4 linked regions of the Neodiprion lecontei genome follow. The protein of the gene in region 3 purifies or fractionates together with the protein of the main gene of each other region. This does not show direct contact. Links are inferred from orthologs where the notes say so. Each region holds a gene or a part of one and is shown on either strand. Other genes may lie near its edges. The genes, in order: E3 ubiquitin-protein ligase RNF8, anaphase-promoting complex subunit 7, mitotic spindle assembly checkpoint protein MAD2A and anaphase-promoting complex subunit 1.

Evidence for each region.
Region 1: the proteins of mitotic spindle assembly checkpoint protein MAD2A (region 3) and E3 ubiquitin-protein ligase RNF8 purify together in Homo sapiens (co-immunoprecipitation; 3 studies listed by BioGRID and IntAct, with this or other methods). This does not show direct contact. The link is inferred for Neodiprion lecontei from reciprocal best matches to the Homo sapiens genes MAD2L1 and RNF8.
Region 2: the proteins of mitotic spindle assembly checkpoint protein MAD2A (region 3) and anaphase-promoting complex subunit 7 purify together in Homo sapiens (affinity purification with mass spectrometry; 3 studies listed by BioGRID and IntAct, with this or other methods). This does not show direct contact. The link is inferred for Neodiprion lecontei from reciprocal best matches to the Homo sapiens genes MAD2L1 and ANAPC7.
Region 4: the proteins of mitotic spindle assembly checkpoint protein MAD2A (region 3) and anaphase-promoting complex subunit 1 purify together in Homo sapiens (affinity purification with mass spectrometry; 3 studies listed by BioGRID and IntAct, with this or other methods). This does not show direct contact. The link is inferred for Neodiprion lecontei from reciprocal best matches to the Homo sapiens genes MAD2L1 and ANAPC1.

The regions. Positions count from the first base shown.
Region 1 is NC_060262.1:38,840,266-38,848,258, reverse strand, and holds the start of E3 ubiquitin-protein ligase RNF8, read right to left. Parts: upstream 6,035-7,993; 5' UTR 5,525-6,034; coding exon 5,408-5,524; intron 5,051-5,407; coding exon 4,180-5,050; intron 3,825-4,179; coding exon 3,387-3,824; intron 2,976-3,386; coding exon 2,849-2,975; coding exon of another isoform or gene 2,841-2,848; intron 1,876-2,840; coding exon 1,766-1,875; intron 1,492-1,765; coding exon 1,384-1,491; intron 1,302-1,383; coding exon 1,194-1,301; intron 914-1,193; coding exon 738-913; 3' UTR 1-737. Other genes in the region: ral GTPase-activating protein subunit beta, read left to right, coding at 6,930-7,001, 7,184-7,604, 7,987-7,993. UniProt on the Homo sapiens protein: E3 ubiquitin-protein ligase that plays a key role in DNA damage signaling via 2 distinct roles: by mediating the 'Lys-63'-linked ubiquitination of histones H2A and H2AX and promoting the recruitment of DNA repair proteins at double-strand breaks (DSBs) sites, and by catalyzing 'Lys-48'-linked ubiquitination to remove target proteins from DNA damage sites.
Region 2 is NC_060262.1:35,033,235-35,038,218, reverse strand, and holds anaphase-promoting complex subunit 7, read right to left. Parts: upstream 3,329-4,984; 5' UTR 3,255-3,328; coding exon 3,186-3,254; intron 3,057-3,185; coding exon 2,730-3,056; intron 2,654-2,729; coding exon 2,244-2,653; intron 2,163-2,243; coding exon 1,748-2,162; intron 1,658-1,747; coding exon 1,383-1,657; intron 1,296-1,382; coding exon 1,073-1,295; 3' UTR 531-1,072; downstream 1-530. Other genes in the region: coiled-coil domain-containing protein 174, read left to right, coding at 1-197. UniProt on the Homo sapiens protein: Component of the anaphase promoting complex/cyclosome (APC/C), a cell cycle-regulated E3 ubiquitin ligase that controls progression through mitosis and the G1 phase of the cell cycle.
Region 3 is NC_060260.1:24,019,875-24,023,420, forward strand, and holds mitotic spindle assembly checkpoint protein MAD2A, read right to left. Parts: upstream 1,671-3,546; 5' UTR 1,484-1,670; coding exon 1,411-1,483; intron 1,297-1,410; coding exon 731-1,296; 3' UTR 549-730; downstream 1-548. UniProt on the Homo sapiens protein: Component of the spindle-assembly checkpoint that prevents the onset of anaphase until all chromosomes are properly aligned at the metaphase plate.
Region 4 is NC_060265.1:30,811,858-30,816,700, forward strand, and holds the start of anaphase-promoting complex subunit 1, read right to left. Parts: upstream 3,014-4,843; coding exon 2,990-3,013; intron 2,675-2,989; coding exon 2,531-2,674; intron 2,440-2,530; coding exon 2,128-2,439; intron 2,047-2,127; coding exon 1,976-2,046; intron 1,913-1,975; coding exon 1,800-1,912; intron 1,497-1,799; coding exon 1,227-1,496; intron 1,136-1,226; coding exon 721-1,135; intron 451-720; coding exon 261-450; intron 157-260; coding exon 1-156. Other genes in the region: protein PBDC1, read left to right, coding at 3,429-3,449, 3,685-3,750, 3,860-3,919, 3,996-4,349; probable ATP-dependent RNA helicase DDX56, read right to left, coding at 4,638-4,843. UniProt on the Homo sapiens protein: Component of the anaphase promoting complex/cyclosome (APC/C), a cell cycle-regulated E3 ubiquitin ligase that controls progression through mitosis and the G1 phase of the cell cycle.

The sequences.
Region 1 (7,993 bases), on a different chromosome or scaffold from region 3:
TGGAGCAAAGTTCTTAAAAGTAATATTTGTATACAAGTAATTATTTTTCAATTTAATTTCATTTCTCCAGCAGTAAGTTTTGTATTCATTCACTGTAAAATGTACAGTGAAGTTATAATGCTGCTGCAATCCAAGAAATGAAAAGTAATCATCTCAAAGCCTTGTACAACCAGTGTGCTGAATTTTAATTTTTTTTCTTATGAGCACGATTTTCTTCTGCAAAATCTTTCAAAATTAAATATGATAACGTTTATAAGTTTTCGGGAATATTTCACCTTCCAAAATTGTTATCAACCCTATACGTAAATAATGACAACACTACTGACGAACTTACTGTAACAGAATAATTTCGATAACGTTAATCAATATCCGGGGATGTCTGAACTTAGAAAATAGATATCATTCAAATTATTAATATGGCTTTTCGAAAGTTTCCGAGTACTTTCGGTTATAGCTGATACACTGAATATGGAATATCGCGGGATGAACGAGATTGATGAGATTTAAATAACTGCGTATAATTTTCGGCAGTAAGTGCTCAACTAATATTATCATCAAAATTTAATGACAATAATAATAATAATGCTATTCGTAAATGACCCAAATAAATCTGGTCCATAAGTCACTCAACGAAGCAACGAAATTTTACTCAATCGAGTGGATTGAAAATGATAAATATTGCATACACCTCAAAATCGTTTCTAGAATATGTTCAGTCACTTGTCAATCTCACAAAATCATGTGAATGGACATCCCGGAGCCCAATGCCCCCTGTTTCCGCAGGAATAGCAACTACCATATCCACCGTAAAGGGCACCAATTCGACCTTCTATATAGTCGTCCTGTGGTTCGCTCCAATAATCCTCATATCCATCGACTATTCCCGACCAGCTATCGTCGCTGCTGTGGCCATCTGAAGTCAGACATTGAGAAAAGATTCATGAAAGAGACCTTAATCGCCTTGCAAGTATCGCATAAAAAAAATTTCTAAATGGCAATACACCCTTTTAATCATCTTTTTAATTATTTGCCGAAAAAATATGCAAATTAATGTTCAAAACCGTAAATTTCAATAGTGAATGAGTCATTACTGACTCATCCTTTAAAAATTCATTCCAATACTTTAATCATGAACGGTTCAGCCTTAAATCCTTCAGTTCGAAAACACATACTATACACAGGATCGGACATACCTGAGTCGATTGAGATGTCCATGTTTCCGGAGTGGCTCTCCGGATCCTCAGAGGTCTGACTATAGGAGTAGACGGATGAGAGGGAGTTGGTATCCTCACCGTCGCCGTCTGTTGCAAACACAATCCAAAAAAATTGGTATTTGTGTGCCATTCATTTGCCAGGTCAATAAAGATAGAAAATTGTATATACCTGTCGACGTGCTCCACGTTGAACCGTCATCATCATCGTTGGTCTGTTGGGTTGTATTACCTGAACCCTGGGTGGATGCGGGTGTCTGTTCATGATTTGTGGTACCACCTGAAATAAATATAAATTGAAGTGACTGATAAATAACGTATATTGTGTTTTCTCAAATACTATCAAAAATCAACCCCATTTTTAGTTCATCTTACTGAAACCACATTTTGGTACACATCTTGTACCAATCATTGAATATACCATAACACATATGTACATTCCAAGAAAGCTCTTCAGTACTCATCAACGAATGGTAAGACTACTTCCTAGAATAGAATGGAACAGCACAACACAATTTCTGCAGGGTAATGAGGTCCTTTCTTTTTACACCTACCACTACTTGAGCGTTGTTGGCGATGTTGACCGCTTGACCCTGAGGCATTGTTCCAATCCGGATTGCTACCGCTTGTCCTGCCTGGGATGTGATTGTTACCGGCTGTCCGACTGTCAGATAAATTTTAATCGCTTGATATTTTCATAGTTATATGATTCAATTTTCATACAGTTATGCGGTTTATCTTTGAATAAAATCTCTTTTTTGTCCCGAGGGTCTAATTCGAAAAATACAGTATATCGATTATGAAAACCTTTTAATATTGTCATAGATGTATTGCTGGTGAAACTTAGGTAACAGGAAATGTTACTAAACCACGTACAGTCTCACGTTCATATAAAAACAATAATAAGTTCGAACATATTCTTAAACAGGCACACAATTAGATATGTTAATTCTAATAAGGAGAAATAACTTGGCCAAATCAGACGAAAGTTGCTTACAAACTTGAATAATATGGTAACTATCATTCTTGTTTACATGTAAACATTTTTCAACAAGTAAAATCAACTTCAGGATGTAGATAACATTAACAAAGCCATGTCGAAACATGTGAAAATCTCAATCTAAAGTACACGAGACTGTCATAACGATAATTAATTTTTTAACTAATTATTGACAAAGGGAAGCCATATTTAGTAAGAAGTACAATATAAAAGATTTTGAGTGTGTATATTATACATGCAATGAAAATTCCATTAAAAAATAAATTAAAAAAAGCATCAGGAATATTAAATTGTTTTCACGAAAAAAGTAAAGCACCAAGAGGCTGGCGCACATTTCGATTATACGTAAAAATAAAGGAAACTAATCATGAATACAAGTTTCGAACTCCTCAAACGCAAGGTGGTTATTTTTCATGGGTTGGTTACATATTTCAACATTTCAGTAGATGGCGTCTTTTTAAATTGAGATGGGTAATACAAGTATATGTCGATTTGAAAAATTCACCAGAAATTTCTACTCTACTCAATGTGAATGAATAAACGGTACATGTATACATCGCCCTACGTAGTAATGCGATTCGAATTAAAAGCTCATGTCAGTATCTATTGTGATGAATTTACACACTGACCTACTGACCTAGTCGCTGCTGTAGAAGTATTTCCAGTACGATTAGTATTTGTATTCGCGTTTCCTCCCCTACCTCGGCCTCGACCTTTCTTTCCACGTGCTTGATTCGCCGGTTGCTTTGCTGCCCTTTCATATTCTGAAAAATATTAGTTTAAAGCTGTGAGAAAAATGTAGGATATATGGCATCTTGATTTCGACTTCTGATGTATCGTATTCTATATAAATAAGATTAGTACAATTAATTACACCACCTACCAGTTTATTGTGGTATAAAATTTCAACAGATTTCGTATGATGGATACACTATCATAAATCAATCATAGCATACGATTTGGAAATACTAATCGTTCCACCGACATTCACTGTCAGATGGTTGTAACTAATTTTCCTTTACTTAAAGTCAATAATACCTAATAGAATCAATAAAACCCACCGTTTTGGAAAAAAAGGTATGTAATTTATACTAAAAACAATTTTACAAATTATAATACAGTGCAAAACTGGTAGGCGTTAGATTTTACAACAGATAGAGGAAGGCCGAGTTTACCTCTCCGTTCTTCAACAATATCTGTCCTTCGTTTCTTATATTCCACTGACAAGTTTTCCACCATTTTGTCAATGAAATTGTCTAAAACCAAAGATCGATTCATGGCAATTATTGCCGTTCTGCACACCGGACATTCTTTCTTTTTCTTCTCCCAAGTATCTATGCAGTACTGACAAAATGTGTGAGTACAATTCAGTGTTGTTGCTTTTACGAATAGTTCTGAACAAATACTACATGTCAACTGTTCATCCATGATATCGCCAACTTTGTTGAAGACGTCTTCATTAGCTGACACTGTGCTGCTCGGTGGAGCAGCTTTCTTCGTAGGTGTTTCTTTAGTCAAATCTATCGTATCTAGAATCGTCAGATGTGACTCATCAATAATTTCAACGTTTTCTGCCACAGTACCGAGGGCGACAACTTTTGCAGCTGACTCTGCTGAAAAATAATCATGACTAAATTATATAACAAGAAACATTTGATTTTTTTTTTCAGATTAACACTGCCACAATTTCATAATAAACTTAAAAAGGATACAATTTTTATTCTTAATAACTTTGAGAGAAAAAAAAAAAAATCAACTATAATATGTGTAGATGCGAAATTTGCGTTCACGTAAAAAACAACATTACCTCATTAGAATAGGACAAGAAAAATTATGCAAAACTGAAGTGGCTATTCACGATTTTTTCAATATTAGTCATTTACTCCAGATTTGAGATGAAGAAATGACTTTAATCTATTTTACCCATCGTACCCACTCAACTATACTTTCCACAGTAGATAAAATTACCATTTTGTTTTTCAAGAGTAGTTTGAAGTTCATTGGCTTTTGATTCTATCTTGAGTAAAGCATCTTCCGTCTCCTTAAGTTTTTGTTCGATTTCAACCTTTTCACTCTGTAATTTTTCAGCAGTTTTCTTTTCTTCGCTGAGTGACTCGGTTAGCTTTTTGCACTCAATCTGTTGTTCATTTTTCAGTTTCTCCAACTGTTCTTTCATATTATTGACCAACATCTCTTTTTCTTTCCTACTAATCTCCAAGGCTTCTTCCAGCTTCTTTTTCTCCTCGTTCAATTTTGTCTCAAACTCTTGCCTCTCCTTATCTAATCGTTCCGACAACTCTCGATTCAGTTTCTCAAGATTCATTTCGGCCTGTTTGACTTCCTCTATATTTTTTTCCAGCATGTTGATCTGATTGTTTAAATGATCCTTCACTCCCTTTGCCGCTTCTCTTTCGTTCAACAACTTTTGCAGTTCATTTTTCAACTCCAGTTGCTCGTTGTGTTTGGCTTTCATTTGTTCCGCAAGATTATCCCTTTCCATTTGCTGCGATTCTTCAAAAGTCTTTTGCTTCATAACAATATCTTGTAAATCCATCTCTGGCACAGACATCTTCGCCTTCTTGGTGAGCGGCTCACTCTTAGAGAGTAGTTGCACTTTGTACAAAAATTCAGACATCGGACCAAACCGTACAGAATCATTTATTTTAATCGTCCGTATTTCTCCTGGTGCCAACTGATTCCCATTGACAAAAGTACCAGTCGTACTGAAATCCTGTATCGTCCATTCGCCAACGTCTGAGCGTTTGATAATACAATGCTGCCTTGATATCGAAATATTAGCCAGTATCTCGTCGTTCGATCGTCCTCTACCTATTTTAAACTGCGAGAAAATGGGAAATGCTCATGATGTATAAATCATGCTATCGATTCTGTCGTAACTGTATAATGTATACAAAAAGGATATAATTTGGTGGTAAAATCATATATATAAAAAAGAATATATATACTCGGCAATTTGTTAACCTATGAAAAATAGAACACGGGTTCTATGACATGCAATGATTGAAATAGAACTGAACTGAAATATATTAAAGCTAACTGCTCGGCTCAAAGATGAGGAAATCTTTTGTGAGTGAGTGTTTGATAGAACATGGTAAAATTCGTGCATGAAACTCCTGACACCAATAAGAAGCTGGTGAAGTTTATAGTGTGAGTAATGTTATTCCAACTGTAATACCTCATTTTTGTCAATGTGAATGAAACTACTGGGATCGGTATTTTCAACGTTGACAAGCACGGCCTCCAGACTATCAGACATGTTTCTTTTCGAACTATGACTTTCCTGTTCTTCCATCGTGGTTGATGAATGTTCTTGACAATTTTCAAAAACTTGATGGCGACCGCAGCCGATCTTGCGTTAATTATCAAAAACACGCCGAATATCACATCAACATCGGTTAATTCATGTTATAACATTGCGTGCTTTGTTTTGGGAACGAAGAATCGCTCAGGGAACTTGCTTCAAAACCTGCAAAACACTATCCTATTACCGAAGCTAAACTCATGTAAACAAAAGCAGCTCGTGCAGCATAGGAAGTGAAAAATTTCACTCTCTCTTTTTTTTATCGCCGAAACGATAACCTTTCATCACAGCGAATTAAATCTTTTGTATTATCAGTAGTATTTCGAATTAACGCAATTCTGAACCCTCACTGATATTTCACTTATCCCACTTTGAATCGATAAATACACCGTTATGATTTAATGTACTTGAAGTTATGCATCAAACTTAAAATACCGTTGTTTATCTTTGTCAATGCACCTGCAGCAAATTTCTGGCAATGCGCAACCAGCGGAAGTTTATTGTGTGGCGACCTCTGGACAACGACCAGGTTCGCCCGTCGTCAGAGCTGAGAGCAGCGCCCCAGATCGTAAGCGGCAGCGTAAGCAGACGCTGACGTTCCGTCTCTGCGACGAATGATCGTTCGAGAACTCACCACGCGCGCGCGCCCAAGAAAGCAAGACCTGTTACACTCAGCCAGAGCGGTGGCAAAAAGAACCGCGTGATACTTACCTCTGAACTCTTCAATAAACGATAACTCATTATCCGTGATACATCCAGGTGTACCAATCATTCAGTTACCCGTCCTCCCTTGAATAAAGCTAATGTAACAAGAAAGCCAAAATTGTGTTCTCAAATACTGGTTCTCAACCCAGAGTCTTATGCGTAGTTCACTTAAAATGATTAATGATCAGATTTGTTTGGTTCATTTATTTATTGGACGTCCACAGGTTTTCTCATTTTTTTCATTACAAAGAGTTGATTGTTCGGATTAAATTTGTATGACCAAAAATCTGTTTCATCATTTACACCTATCTTTGATAACTCGCCCACACTCGTAGTTTGTTTCTATTCTAGGCTCGTAGTTTTGTTAATACCCATGAAGCAAATCAGCTAGTGCGCATGCGCATTGCGCGCAGAGTTACTTTTGCCAAATTACCGCTAGGTGGATGGATTTCGGATTAGGTTTGCGTTGCTACTACCAGCTTTTCAGCTACACGAGCTATATTCGAAGTTTTCTGGCTGAGTTTGACAGGTCAGAGTAGGAAGTTAATTAATTATTCCTTTCCAATCGTACGTCATACTTGCGCATGGTAATCTATGAATTTAGGCGTATTCAACAGGGTTAATCTCAAGGTAACTTATACGCCTCACAGTCCAGCATTCGATATTACGTTTGACACGTAGGCTATCGTTGATGCAAAGCCCGACACTTGTCAAAGTTGCATGTATAACCTCAATAATGACTGGGCCAAGAAACTCGATCTCGGTAAATTATTAAATAATCGTCGGAGATAGCAAACGAAAGGTTAATGATGTCTTTTAACAATGGAGAAATTACGGCCGAACGATATTCTCGTAGAAAATTAAATATCACGACATCGCATATATGCGTTTCAGAGTTTAATAACCATGTTTTTATTTTCATATCGTAACCTTACCTCTGCACAGGATTCTGGAGGAGGAATGTATTCAGAATGGGCCTCCCTGAGCACACTGGTTCAGAATGGCTCAGAGGACAGCCAGAGCGTTTTAAAAAAATTCCACCCTGTAGCTGGACGAGAAGTAGCGCTCTCGATCGTTCGTCAGCTAGCTACTAATCTTGGCATAACACAGGCAGCTGAGCACAGCCCGTTGACTACGGATCGAGAAGTTCAGTGGTGTATGGAAGTCATTTGCTTCGGACTTTCGTTGCCATTGGCGGAGCATGATACTGTCAGAGACTGTGTTAATGTCTATTGCGAATGGCTATCTGCTCTGTATTCATCGCCAAAAATTTCTGTACCAAGACCCATTGTCGAGGACCCAAATTTTTATGCACGTAAAATAATCAGCCACTTCCATAATTTATTTGTACCAAGAAAGGGAGAAGGTAAGATATGTTTAACACTGTTTTTTGTTGTTTTTGTTGTTAGTTCAGTTGGTGAGATTGTAATAACAAGAATGTCTTTCAAGTTAATACAATATTACTGATCAGTTTAATAATAATTAATTTATAATTACAACATATAAGTCTTTTAGAAAATAATCTAAGCACAGTTTTAGAATCATTTGTCTGTTTTAAAGTTCTATTAGTTAGTTAGTTGAAGTTATTTTGTATCAACTTACAATGGGAACAAAATAACTTTTAAGGCTCAGTTTGAGTAATTTTGCGACTATTTTTGTTCCTTTGACAAAACTGTACCAATTGTTTATTGTCTTACGTAACCCTTATCAATAGACTAACCAATTTTTTCTATATTTCTTGTCCATAGTCTGGCC
Region 2 (4,984 bases), on a different chromosome or scaffold from region 3:
TACCTATGGAATATCATCTACCGGATTCTACATTGTTGAGCTCAATAACTGGCGTGGATTCAAGTAAACGATCAGCTGACACCAGCATGTCGGATAATATTGATAGTCAAGAACCACAGCATATCTTAAACGAAGACAAGATTACTGCTGGGCTTAAATATTTACGAGCAAATTTTGAAAAGCAAAAGCACAGCTGATCGACTAAAATATTTAAGAATATCAAGTCAACTAATTTTAGATAATAGACATGTTTTATGTCGAATGACATAGTTGTAAATATTTTTTCGATGCACACTTTCTTCATTAATTATTATTTACTTGTAAAATTGTTACTTATTTATACGAAAGATCTGAAATAATTTTGTTATGAAAGTTTCATTAGGCATACTGTGTGGGAAATACATAATTAACGATTCTATTTTTTGTACTTCTTACTCAATTACCTACATTACTAGTTCTTTACGAGTAGACTTTGGTTATTAAAATGTTTTCAATGGGAGACAGAAATTCTATATGGTAACCAAACTACGTACTCATATTTTTTAATTTATTCTTATTTGTGGTACACACAAAACTGAATAAATTTTTTGCTTATTCTGTACTAAGAAAACAACATCGAAAAATTAGCTAATAAAGTAAGAATTTCTCTTTCTATAAACATGATTGATGCGTTCTCATTAGAACATAAACATAGAGAAACATGGTGCTTCCCAGAATTGCGTAATTCTTTCTTGCATGATCGAAGTACTCATTTGTCAATTGTACTACATATAGGAGAAAGGAACTCGTCATTTTGTCTACTCCATAAACAGTTTCGTACATTTACAAAAAATGCACGCATTATTATGATTTAAAGAATATCGTCAGTCACAGTTGAAATTCAACAGTCTTTGCAGAAGTATGGAACAAAAATTTCCGAGGAGTACTGTGATGCGGGATGACAATTTCTCTGATAAAGAACTCATAATTTCATTGTTATATAATATCAGAGGAAAATCATTGCCGCAAAAATGAGAAATGCTCATTATTTTCAGTTACAAACTACTTTCAATCACTCTGGTTGTAAGTTACCCTATTGACTATTCGCTTCCAGATCCATGTCAGACCAAACTGCTTCTGTTTCACTTTCGTCAGCTCCCTCGTCATTGTCTGTATCTGGCAAACCATCTCCAACATCATAAGTTGTATCTGCATGTTCGTCACCTACAGTCATATAATAAGTCGATTCCAGTTTCGTTGAAGTACTGTCTAACCGATGCAGCCCTTCCAGAGCCCGTCGATTACATGGATCTAAACTGTAAACAAATGGGATAAAATGAATTGGTTAGTAACAGTACAGATAAAAATATCAGCACACTGTGAAACTAAAACTGCATCCCTACTTCAAGGCGATGGCGTAATGATCCAATGCTTTTTCTTGATTGTGAATTCTAGCCCACAAATCGCCAAGCATCTGATGAAATTTAGAGGTAGGTAATATTTCTACTTGTCTCTCAAGTAATTCAATAGCAGCTTCTAAGTTCATCTCCTGTTCGTATATTTCAGCCAACAAATAAACAGCCGGCAAAAATGACTCTTCTTGACTCAATGCTTTTTCCAACAAGTTTTTCGCTTTGCCAACTGATACAGGGTCCTTCATCAAAACCGACGAATAAAGCTGCAACATAATATTTTTACATAAGTCATCGTGTCAAATCTCAAAAACTGTTGTTTAAACATACAGTTTAGTATTTTACTAATGGCGTACCGTCAGAGCCCGAGGCGTGTGTCCCAGTAATTTACAACCTGTACTGGCGATATTCAATGCTTCCCTAAGTCTATGCATTCCAACATAACAATCAACGAGTCCTTTGTGTGGTTCGTATCTATGTGGTTTGAGTAGAGCAGCTTTCCTAAAATGGTGCAATGCCTCTTGATATTTTTTTTGGTCGATAAGAATATTTCCCCATAATATAATTGCTTCGATACTATAGGGGCTCAGGTTTATCGCTTGTACAATCAGGGTACTTGCTCTACTGAATTTTCGCGCAGCGTACAAAGCATAAGCCATAGCTATATACTGTTCAGCTGTGTATTCGGAAGTCTGTGTTATAGCTGGGATTAATTTCTCAAGCTCCTTGGTGTTTTGCGTCTTGTACAACACAGCGGCATATATGTCAAGGCTAAAAAAGTAACAAAATAAAACAGATCAGGCTTATCATTGAACACATATCATTTGAATCCAGAAACGAATTTTTACAAACCCTTTCGTCAAATCAGGTTCTATAGTTCTGGCCCGTCGCAAACACGTCAAGGCATTTTTATCGTCACCAGCAAAATAGTAACATTCACCCATTGTTATTAACAAGGTAACATTGTCTCTAAAGTAATTGGCATTATCGAGTGACCTGAATGCTGTGATTGCATGACTGTATTCACGATTGTGAATATGTGCGTGTCCTTTGATCCAGATGTTCAACCACTCCAGACTTGGTGAATTGGTTATAGAGTTAACAATCATGGAATTTACTTCGATCCCTTTTACACCCAGAGCAAGGAGTCCTTCCACTGCGTTAAGAGCCAATGGACATTCTCGTAAAACTTCCTTGTATGTCGTAATTGCTGATCTTTCCATTCCTTGTTCTTGGAACATTTTTGCCAGAGCCATATTCACCTAAAAATTTATTTTCCGAACATAAATAATAGATGGCAAAAAAGTTTTCTACTTTCAAGGATGAAGAAGTTCTTACTTTTGCGGATCTTTGCTTGCCAGGTATTCCCTGAAGAACTTGTAAGGCTTCTTGGGTATTTTTGAGCTTGACCAAGCACAAATGTATTTGATATTTAATGTCTATGTCCGACATGAGTTCTTTCTGTCCATCAGGCGGCGGTTTAGTAGCACCTTTAGATTTCAAAAGGCATTTACGAAACTGCAAGGACTTCTTGTACAGCGATTCAGCCTTCCGGTACTTGGAAAGATGAAAGTACGAATCAGCACAATGGACATACGTTAAGAATTTTGCCTGCGGTGGAAGAAGCTCGCTGTTGTGATCGCTTAGCGATAAAATGAAATTTGCCTAGAAATAGAAGAGCTGAACGTTATCCTCATGCATTTCTCTTACACTGGCAAATTCTTTCTCGCCATCAATTTTCTGCATTATAGGTTAGTTTCAACAAATCAACATTAAGTCACAGCTCGTACTCACTAGAGCGATCACATTTGAATACAGCTCTTGATCGTACAACATTTTTATCTGCTCGTATAAACTCGACATTTTTACAGATCTATATAAATACTACTTTGACAGCGGACGGCTTGTGTCCTCTTATTCACCCACCCACATTTACAAATTCATATACTTATGCACGCCTAAAGCACCCGTCAAACATTGGCGACATCTGTTGACTAGCGCGAGATTTGAATGGCTGGTTTCTTCGACAAATCTAATTCTAGCTTGATTCTAGCATTTTAATGTTGGAAATGCAATAAACGCCGTTAATATCGTTCATCAAAACTTCTTACAAACTTATGACGTTGGCTGTTGACAAAAACAATAAAAGCACATCCAGCAGTTAGTATATAAAATATGTCACATCTTTTTACATAAAACCTAAATACTGTGCGGCTAAACTCGTTGGGCTATAGATTATTTACAAGTTTATTGTACGCTCTGTAATGATCGATAAAACTTTTATATCGTGACCTTCACGAGTAACATTGCCCTACATTCCTGCTCGATCCATAAGAAATTACTCTGCGACGGGTCACATACTGTACTTAAACTATAACTCAAGTTTTCACATCCGGTAGTATTATTTTAATAATATGGTTTATTGCGTACGCTGAATATACGGGAATGTTATACATATTTTGCGCAACTGCCGAAATCAGATATTATATACATATGTATCTATAGCAGATGACATCGCTGATACAGACTGAATCAGGTGTTCTCACAATCAGACAGACATAGGTGAACAATGTGAACATAGATCCCCGCAGCATATCATTCATATATCCGTATATCATTACTGATTAGATAAGCGTTAATTTTCATGTACGATGAGTCGTTGCACCTCGGGTAATTTTTAAAAAATACGTACATTACAAAGTATAGCGTACCAAACAATTTACAATTTTACTGCAACGGACGAATGGAATCAAATAAAATATCTTACCACTTGTAAATAATAGTAATTGAATCGTGTATCGGTAATCCGCACGCGGCATTTTTCAAACCATAATGAAAATTGTGATAGAAAAAAAAAAAAGACTCCAATCTTATCGCAATCCTATGTGCATGATATTTGTATGTCGCGATATATGGCTTATTGGGTCATAATGAGATGTCTTTCCCATACCTAGATGGCGATAAAAAATAGTACGGTGATTGGTGTGCAGAGTGGATGCCATGAATTTCACAGCACAATCAAGGACACGTAGTGCGTTATCCTTTCACTTTCAAGGAAGCCGAGATTTGGCATAGTTTCAGTCTACCGCAGGCAACGAGCGGTGTAACAGGTGGGCTTAATTACTTTTTACATAAAGCTCCTCCGGATTATGTTCGAGTCTCGAATAAATACGAAGTGTTATTCTCTTACTAAAATCCGCTATAATCTTATAAATTGAAAATTATCAACACCGCATGCGTCACTTCGTGTCTCAAGTAAACGAAAACCATAGGGAAAGTAAGTTGGAATATGTGCATACATAAATCGTGATATAATTATATCGAACGACTAATGGATATAAGTGTATGTATTTGTTTTTTTTTTCTTTTGTTATTCGGCCAATAAAATATTCAATAGAATATATTATTCCATGGCAAGTAAACCGAATTTCCAGTATCGTTGCGAATGTCATTTGTAAATAAAGGATTATATCAGAATCACGCCGATGTAGATCAAGCTGATCACCTTGCCATAATAATAATATAATATACGAATACCACGAATACTTTCACGGGAAAAGCTCTGACCTCTGAATATCTTTCGAAATTATTCC
Region 3 (3,546 bases):
ATTCGCATACGAAATGAAGTTATATCGAGTTACTCAATTTTTTGGTGCTGTACACTTTAACAGAATTCATAAACTTTTAATTCAGATCATGTTTCAATGTTTCCCGAATTTATCATCGACTTTGTTGTCAGAGTGAATCATTTGGAACAATTCTTTATACCTTGTTCGATGGATCGAAGATGGTTACGAATGATTTCAAGTGATTTCCACAAACTGCGCACAATGAATATCAGGAATATGAGTAGTGATTATGCAGCCAAAACTATCTCGTTAAAAGTGTGATATAAAAAAAGGAGAGTAGCGACCGTGAGTCTTATTGGCAAGACTGATCTACACAACGAAGTAGCTAAACAAAAATACAAATAAGTCTTAAAATAATGAATTGATTAGGAAATCGTGAATGTACATCAACTTCAGTATGCTGTGATCTGTGCCTAATCAGTAGAAATTCAGAACATCCAAAACCAGTGTCTTCTAGCTCTTTGAAATAAATACTACATCAGGAATTCCGTGAGGTTAGGTATGAAAAGAGGAGAGAGAAAAGTAAATGAGAGTATATAAAAACATTTATTTGAAAAATTATTGTTGTCCTTAATCAATCAAGGAGACCATTACAGTCTAATACAAAATATGATGCAATTGAAAGAGTATAATTACAATTGAATGAATATGAAGAATAAAAATTACAATAATAAGCACTTGTGTACGAAAGCGTACTGTATCATTGGTATCAATCGTTTTTATAGCTAACTATGGTCTGCATCTTATGAATGGATGTAGAGAAAGTCCTGAGTTGCACTTCCTGGCTGTTGGCGATAAATACTGGCTGGGTTTCATCCCATTCGGTGGGTATATTACAATCAGGAACTGTGTATGTCAGTATATCAAAGGAGCAGAGACAATCGAGTAGCGGCAAAAAACTGACTGTTCCTGTTATCTGACGTATCACTTCGCGGATCTCTTTTTGAATGGTCTTCGTATCCTTTGTACCAACTTCTGAGTGGTTTATATTTTTGTTGCCGGTGGCGGTGCCATTTGGAGTTGATCCTTCGTAATCAACTTTGAAATCCCATTTCTCAAGTACCTCTTTAGTGTTTACATTAGTTATGACAAGCGTTACCTTTTGTACTTTCTTTTGTAGTAACCATTCTTCGATTTGACCGAGGACAGTGTTTAAGAAAGATTTTATCTTTTCATCCGTAGAGACAAGGATTGACAAACCAAAATGTTCCGCCGGTTCGAATGTTTCCGGTGGATATATACCCCGCTGATAAAGTATACTGTTGATCCCGAAATCTGTAATAATGCAACGATTCCGAGTCGTTATAATACGGTTCAACAGTAAATGAAATCCAAAACAAAGAGCTGGAAAGTGACAGTTTTTGTTAAAAGATGAGTTCAGATACTCACGCAAGTATTCAGCGACTAACTCCGCGGAACCCTTTAGAGTAATACATTTCGATTTTTGTTGCGTTTCTGTCATTATGAGAGACGGGCCCAATCACCGTCGCAGCCGACAATAATAAAACTAGCTACTGCAAGCCTCCACACATCAGCCGAATTAACCAAACAATACTTTCATGAGGTTAGAAACAATCACGGGTAGCTTTTCAAATGCACCAATCGTAGCTCATGAGGCAACTTCGAACCCCTCACCGTTCCTGTCAGCCAATCGCAACACCCAACCTTTGGTATCCATAGCGTACAAGGTACAAGACGGCAGACTCTCTACATGATTAATGTCGATCAAGCCACGGATCCGTTGACTGAAGAATGTAATGACGGATACCCCTGGGTAAAATTTGGTGACCAGTTTTCGGCGGGCAAATGGGCGCAGGTAGGCCTGGGAGCGTAGGAGGGTTCTGCTCTATCGACTCTACCCAACGGGCTCGCACCGACATTCGTAACAGCCGAAGTAGTGTCGGTATGGCAGCATGAGATTGAGTCGGTACAAAGTGAGTACGCAAGACTACTTGTCGACTGCGACTTAAAAATGTCGATCGGCTCGATCATCCCCGTGAGAAGACGCGAAACCGCGTCCGCCGACAACTACCATACAACCACCGAGCACCACCAATGACCGTCAACCACCTTCTCCCACCTCCGACCACCTTCGTGCTCCTTGTCCACCTCGACGCCGTCCTCCTCCTCCGCACCACGGCGCGTCGTCCGCGTCTTCGTCGTCTTTCACGACAACCGCCGATCACTTCCAACCACCTCCAAACACTTCCTACCATCTCCGTCCACCTCGTACCACCCCCTGCCGCCACTTACCACTTCCGGCAACAACCGACCACCTACTATTATCCCCGACCACCTTCTACCAACCCCTACCACCACCTACCTGCGCCTACCACCGGCTACCATTTCCGAACATCCCTAACCACCTTCGTCCTCCTGGTCCTCCTGCTCCACCATGTATTCCATAATATTAATATTCATAATTATTCCGACAACTTTTCATATGATCTTTCGGTCTTGAATTTTCGTAGGCATGGAATCGAAACGCTGTATTAGCTAGTCGCAAGTGAAATACCTACGTTGGGTAGAGAAGCAGAATTGTTTTTCAAAAAGTGAACATATGGGAAAAAATTCAGAGTAAGTGTAATACATCATGGATGCGCTAATTTTGATCGATATGAAATGGATGCTCCGTATATGAGACAGTATTTAACGCTGCGTAGTGATTTAAAGACCTAGAAAGGTGATAGGGAGAGAAAGAACGACGCTTCTTAACACTTCGAGTGTATTTTAACACACATTTGAAAGATACGAGCGAAATTTTTCATCATCCAACTGTCGCAGAACGGCAGCGTTATTAGCCGACCCGTTCACTGAAGAATACATCTTCAGTCAACGGCTGACGATCGAAGGGCCTGGCCGCTTGAGTCTGGAATCGGCAGGAGAGATAAAGTGCGTATTTCTTGTATGAAATGTGAAAGCTAAAATCATTATACATCATATCATATCATCATACATCATACATCATACATCATACATCATACATCATACATCGTACATCATACATCATCATACATAGTATCAAAGTTCGAAACCATAGTTTGGATGTCGGATGTTCAGAAAGTGACGTCACCAATTCAAAATCAGCTAGCCGAATTCCTCAGTCGGGAAACAACCGCGCAGTAGAGCGGACGGATGAGAGTCGCGCTCCGCAAATTTCGAGTACCGGGTTCTCAACCTCCCGGATCCCGCGCTTCGGGTCCGCTACGTATTTGGAGTACCGGGTTCTCAACCTTCCGGATCCCGCGCTTCGGGTCCGCTACGCGGTAAAACTCGGCTTCCAGGATAAGCGCTCCGTGGCTCCTCGTTCATGTTTACAATAAATTATTTCAATTCGTTTTTCGCGCAAGCCCAAATTCAGTAGCTGTCAGTCCGCTAATAAAATTTCTCGACTTCCAGGATAAGCGCTCCGTGGTTCCTGGTTCATGTTTACAATAAATTATTTCAATTCGTTTCTCGCGCAAGCCCATATTCAGTAGCTGTCAGTCCGCTAATAAAATTTCTCGACTTCCAGGATAAGCGCTC
Region 4 (4,843 bases), on a different chromosome or scaffold from region 3:
AGAGCTACCAAGTTTTTGGGCAAAATTTGGAAGATAGTAGTTCGAACTTGACAGAGGAGACAAAACTCCAGCAATATGAACCTTGCCTACGCAGGTCACTCCGGAATAAAGTGCGACTCCGTTGGACAAATCTACCGTCACAATCATGTGAAGTTTCTGAAAAATCATAGGTACAAAACAAATTATACCAAATATAAATTTGTGCTGACATGGAGAAAAATATGGAATTGTTTTGAATTAATCATATTCATTAATCTCACCGGCAAACTGACAGCATCTTTTGCAACTATACTGGTAACCATTCCGAAAATAATTTGTTGCTGTTTGTTTGACTTCTCAAGTCGTACCAAAAACAGTTGAGATCTATTCGGTACTAAATATCCCAAATAACTTTGACCGACAAGATCCGATGTCAATAAAACCTTCGATGCAGGTCCAGATATGACATCCCTTAAATTAAAGCGGAGTAAGATATGCTTGTTACTTCTCTTAACATCATAATCACTGAGATCATTATTTTTTTTCAGGGTGGATACATTTGCTTCTAAATTCCAAACTATGGCCAAAACAAAGTTAATACAGAAACTCACTTCTGATTGAAGGTCCAAAGGAACTGCAAGCACAGGTAAGACCTAGATGGGATATCGGGAAAAATAGGAGGATTGGTAGGAGAGCAGGGGGTTCGACACTTGATACAAGATCTTGAACACTAATACTCACTTTGAAACTCCAACATTTTCTGTCCATACGTGATCCAGGCAAAGTTCAGGATACAGAGGCCTACTAGGACTGGCCATGGGATCTTGAAGATGCAAGCTACTGCAAGGACTACTCGGACTATTCGGCGACTGCCCCAAAATCGTTGCCATCACTGTGTGATGTAATCTAGTTTGATGAGCTATAGAGCTGCTAGGGCCTCCCAATAACGGAGAGAAAGTCGTGGGAGATTCAGATCTTGAAATAGCAGCCATCGGACTCTGAGATCTTGAATGTTGCTGCTGCGAAGGCGATGCCCCGCTGACAGAGCCTGTCGTATATGACGCCGCACGAGATGCAAAAGGGCTTGTGGCTGCTACTCCGCCACCCGCCAAACTAATACCCATACCAATACCACTTGATTGCAAGTTAGGAATACCTGTTTGGGAGTGGTAGAAAAGGCACAAAACAAGACATTTTTAAGGATGATATTGACATTTTCAATATTTCATATAAACCAATGAACTCACCAAAAATACTGACGTGAGCTTTGCTAGTAGAGCTTCTGTTGGTAGAAAGATTGCTACCGATATTAAGAGGTGAGCCAGTTGCAGAGTGATTTAAAATAATACTAGGTGTAGTGTCATTGCCACAAACGACATGACACTCGTCAGACGAAGCCTTACGGATTTTATAAACTGAATGTAGGCCAGTACGGGTATCATAGACAACAGCTAGCGATGGTTCAGAACTTGTAAACACTATTTTCTGATGCGAATCGCACATATACGAGAGACTACCTGCAAAAATTAAAATTTAATTTATAATATTAACAGTAAGTGTATACTGAAACTAGTTACGAAGTTGAAATTAGTAACGTTGACGTAACGAAACATTGGGAAAAATTACTACGCTGCAATTTCAAAATGACTCTAAAGTAATTGTATTTTCGAAAAATAAGAATGGTTTGCTTTATTACGGTTTATTGTATTTGGAGACAATTCTAAAATTGAGGAATATTACGATATTTCCCAGACTGCGTAGTTCGAATAACATTACTAACTTCGGATTAACTATCAGTTCCATATTTATTTAATATTCACCGTGCTTCAGCAGCAGAGGACAAATTTCGTCCAACGGATGCTTGAGAGAAAATGCTGTGGGTAATTGGTTTTCATTTTGCGCCGCCAGTTTGCTCGCTTCCAAAGAGGCATACCTAAGTAAATGTAACAGCATGTACTGTTGTTGACTTAATTTGCATAGCTACGAGTATAATTACCTCGACACTGTGGTAGGAGCTGGGAACTTTTCCAACAAAATTCCAAACTTCGTAGCCCAAACTGATGATACCTAAATCAATTGATGAAATCGAAATATTTTACATTTTCACATGATAAATTTTTCCAAACAGATCGAAGATTGTCTACCCACTTGAAATTGTAAGCTTGATACATAGTCTTCTCCAGTTTCAGTGAAAACCTTCAGGTTATATGAATCCAGGAGACAAATACACTCAATGGGGCTCCCGCTAGGCTCATTAAAGTCAGGTTGATTAGGAACATTTTCTGGTGTAGTCGAGTGAAACACACACCAAAGAGCATGCTTTATGTCACTGTCACACGAGTATGAAGTTTGAAGCGACCTCGTAGACCCGCTGCCTTTAGAGTGAACGGCAATTTTTCCTGAGCAGTACAATTCCTCTTCGCCGTAAGTTTTGTTTTGTCTAACAGACCAGAATTCTTGCTGTAATTGAATGTTTCGTTAATTGTTTCAAATAAGAGAGTATAATTTTAACTTTATTTCCCAATTCCTTCAAAAATACTCAACGGCTTACAGGCGTTTTTTCTGATATATTCACTTGACTGAGCCTCTGTAAAATGAAACTCTCTCCTGGCGCAGTTTGATTGCTGGCCAATTGCTGGGCAACGACAGAACCTGGATGCCGCAAGATCGTCTGTCGTCCTCCTGGGACATATTCCTTGAAACATGATAAGGAATTTATTTATTTGAAATTAGTTAGCAAGTACAATAAAGTATTCAGTTTAAAACGCCGTGAACGAAATCGTACGATACGGAATTTGCTACGAACATGGCAGAAAACGAAATCGTGAAATATTTGTAAAAACACAAATAATTTTTTGCATAATTTTCAAGTTGGATCGACTAAGATACAGAATGGACCTGAAACGTATTATAGCTCACATCACGTTCAAAGTTTTTGCAATATACGACCGGCAAAGATAACCCAACCTAACATAACATAACCTAAAAGAAACAAACTGAGTAAACTTACCAGCGGATCGGAAGCGGCGATCATTTTCTCCCCGATTTCATCCAGATTTGCTAAGTTTGTTTATTATTTTATCGTAAACACTAGTAGCTGTCACAAAATTTATTTTTAGCACGTTATCAGTGTACGTGTTAGGGGGAAGAATAATAATAATCGGTTTACTCTAACGATGGTTTACTATAAGAAAGGTTTTTGAACTGTCAGTTTATGTAAAGTGTCAGGTCTCGAACTCGTGCATCGCGTGATATTTTCTTTCTTAGAAAATTACAGTCACAAAATTGATGAATAAAACTCAATCAATCTTGTTTGTATGATTGTAGAAAAATTTGGAAAGAGATTTCAGTTGAATTAAACAAATTTTATCCGTTCGAAGCAACGCTCCCAAACTTGACTCTCGACGTATATACGATATAATTATAATAACAATAACATTCGCGCAAACATGGCACATGTGGGTGATGTGGTAAGTAAAATAATGACGCTCAGATACGTTCTATAGAATTTTATCGTCAGATCACAACCAAAATGTAGTCTGATTTTAATTTCCCTGAAAAAAATATCATTCTGCAAGCCTTTGCAACGATTTACAATACCTGAAAACCTATTGTACAAAGCATAACCTATATTTGATATTCTCACTGTTTTACGTACCCATTTCAAAGAAACACTAATCATCAATAATTTACCCTACGATACAGACAGCTGATCAATTGATAGCAGGAAGCAGCGTTCTGTCCAGGCCTGCCGAGGAGTTTGACAATGACGTAAGCCAAAAATAATTCATTCAAACTCAATTACCAGACTCCTAAAGTGTCCTATGTTTCTCAGATTTTCTAAACTGACCAATTTTAATCCGTCCAAAAATTATTCCAGCCATCAGTGGAGGCAATGTGGGCAATCAAGGCGTATGAGCACGCAGAGATATACTTTAACGTTGGTAACAGAATTTTTTCATCCGAAATATCTATGCACATTTTTCTCCAGCTTATAAACACTGTTTCATTTCCAGATATTATGTTCGGTGGATCCTAAGCTCCTAAGACTGACACCGCACGATGATTTGATCTACAAATCATTCAGAGAATCGTTTCCAGACTTTAAAGTAGACAAGATTAACGAGGATGAGCTTAAGTCGCCCGAAGGAAAAGCAAAGTGGAGGCCGTTTTGCGAACAATTCAAGGAGGTTGTAGAAGACTACAGTTTCGGCACCCTGGTAAGGGCGGATTGTGATGGAGAATATTCTGAACAAAACAGCATACTAACATCCAGAATCCAATTCTATGCTATTGAGTTGGCAAGAAACAGGGAAGGTCTGAATGACAATATCAGAGGGAAGTACAAGCCCAGAACGGCCCCTAAGTAGTAATATTCCAATACTTTCACTTCACAAAACCGAGGTCGGCTGATTTATTTTTGCAACTATGCATTTAGCAAATCTCATTATTTACTTAATACTTGCAAAGCTACTAATTTTATGGTCCGCTAATATGTAATAAATCTTAAGAAAATATTTACAGTAAAAAAAAAAGCAGCATCGCCTAATTTTCTCCGATCAATTCCGTTTTTGTATTTCAAAATATAATAACCATATAGTATCGTTATAGTCTTATATTCTTAACAGTTCGTAATTTTTTCACTCAATTCCATTGGTTTACTTTTTTCGCGGTATGCTGAGACTGATTAATGGATTCGAAGCTCTGGCTAAGTGTTTTGATTTGCTAGCACTCGACCCAGTTGCTGCAACTTCCCTGTCAAATTTTCGTTTTCTTTTCCCTATTCCTGCTATCCTCTTCAGCGTCTGGGGCACTATGTACTCTGGAACATCTTTCAAATGGGGCTGCTGCCTCACCGTGTGCA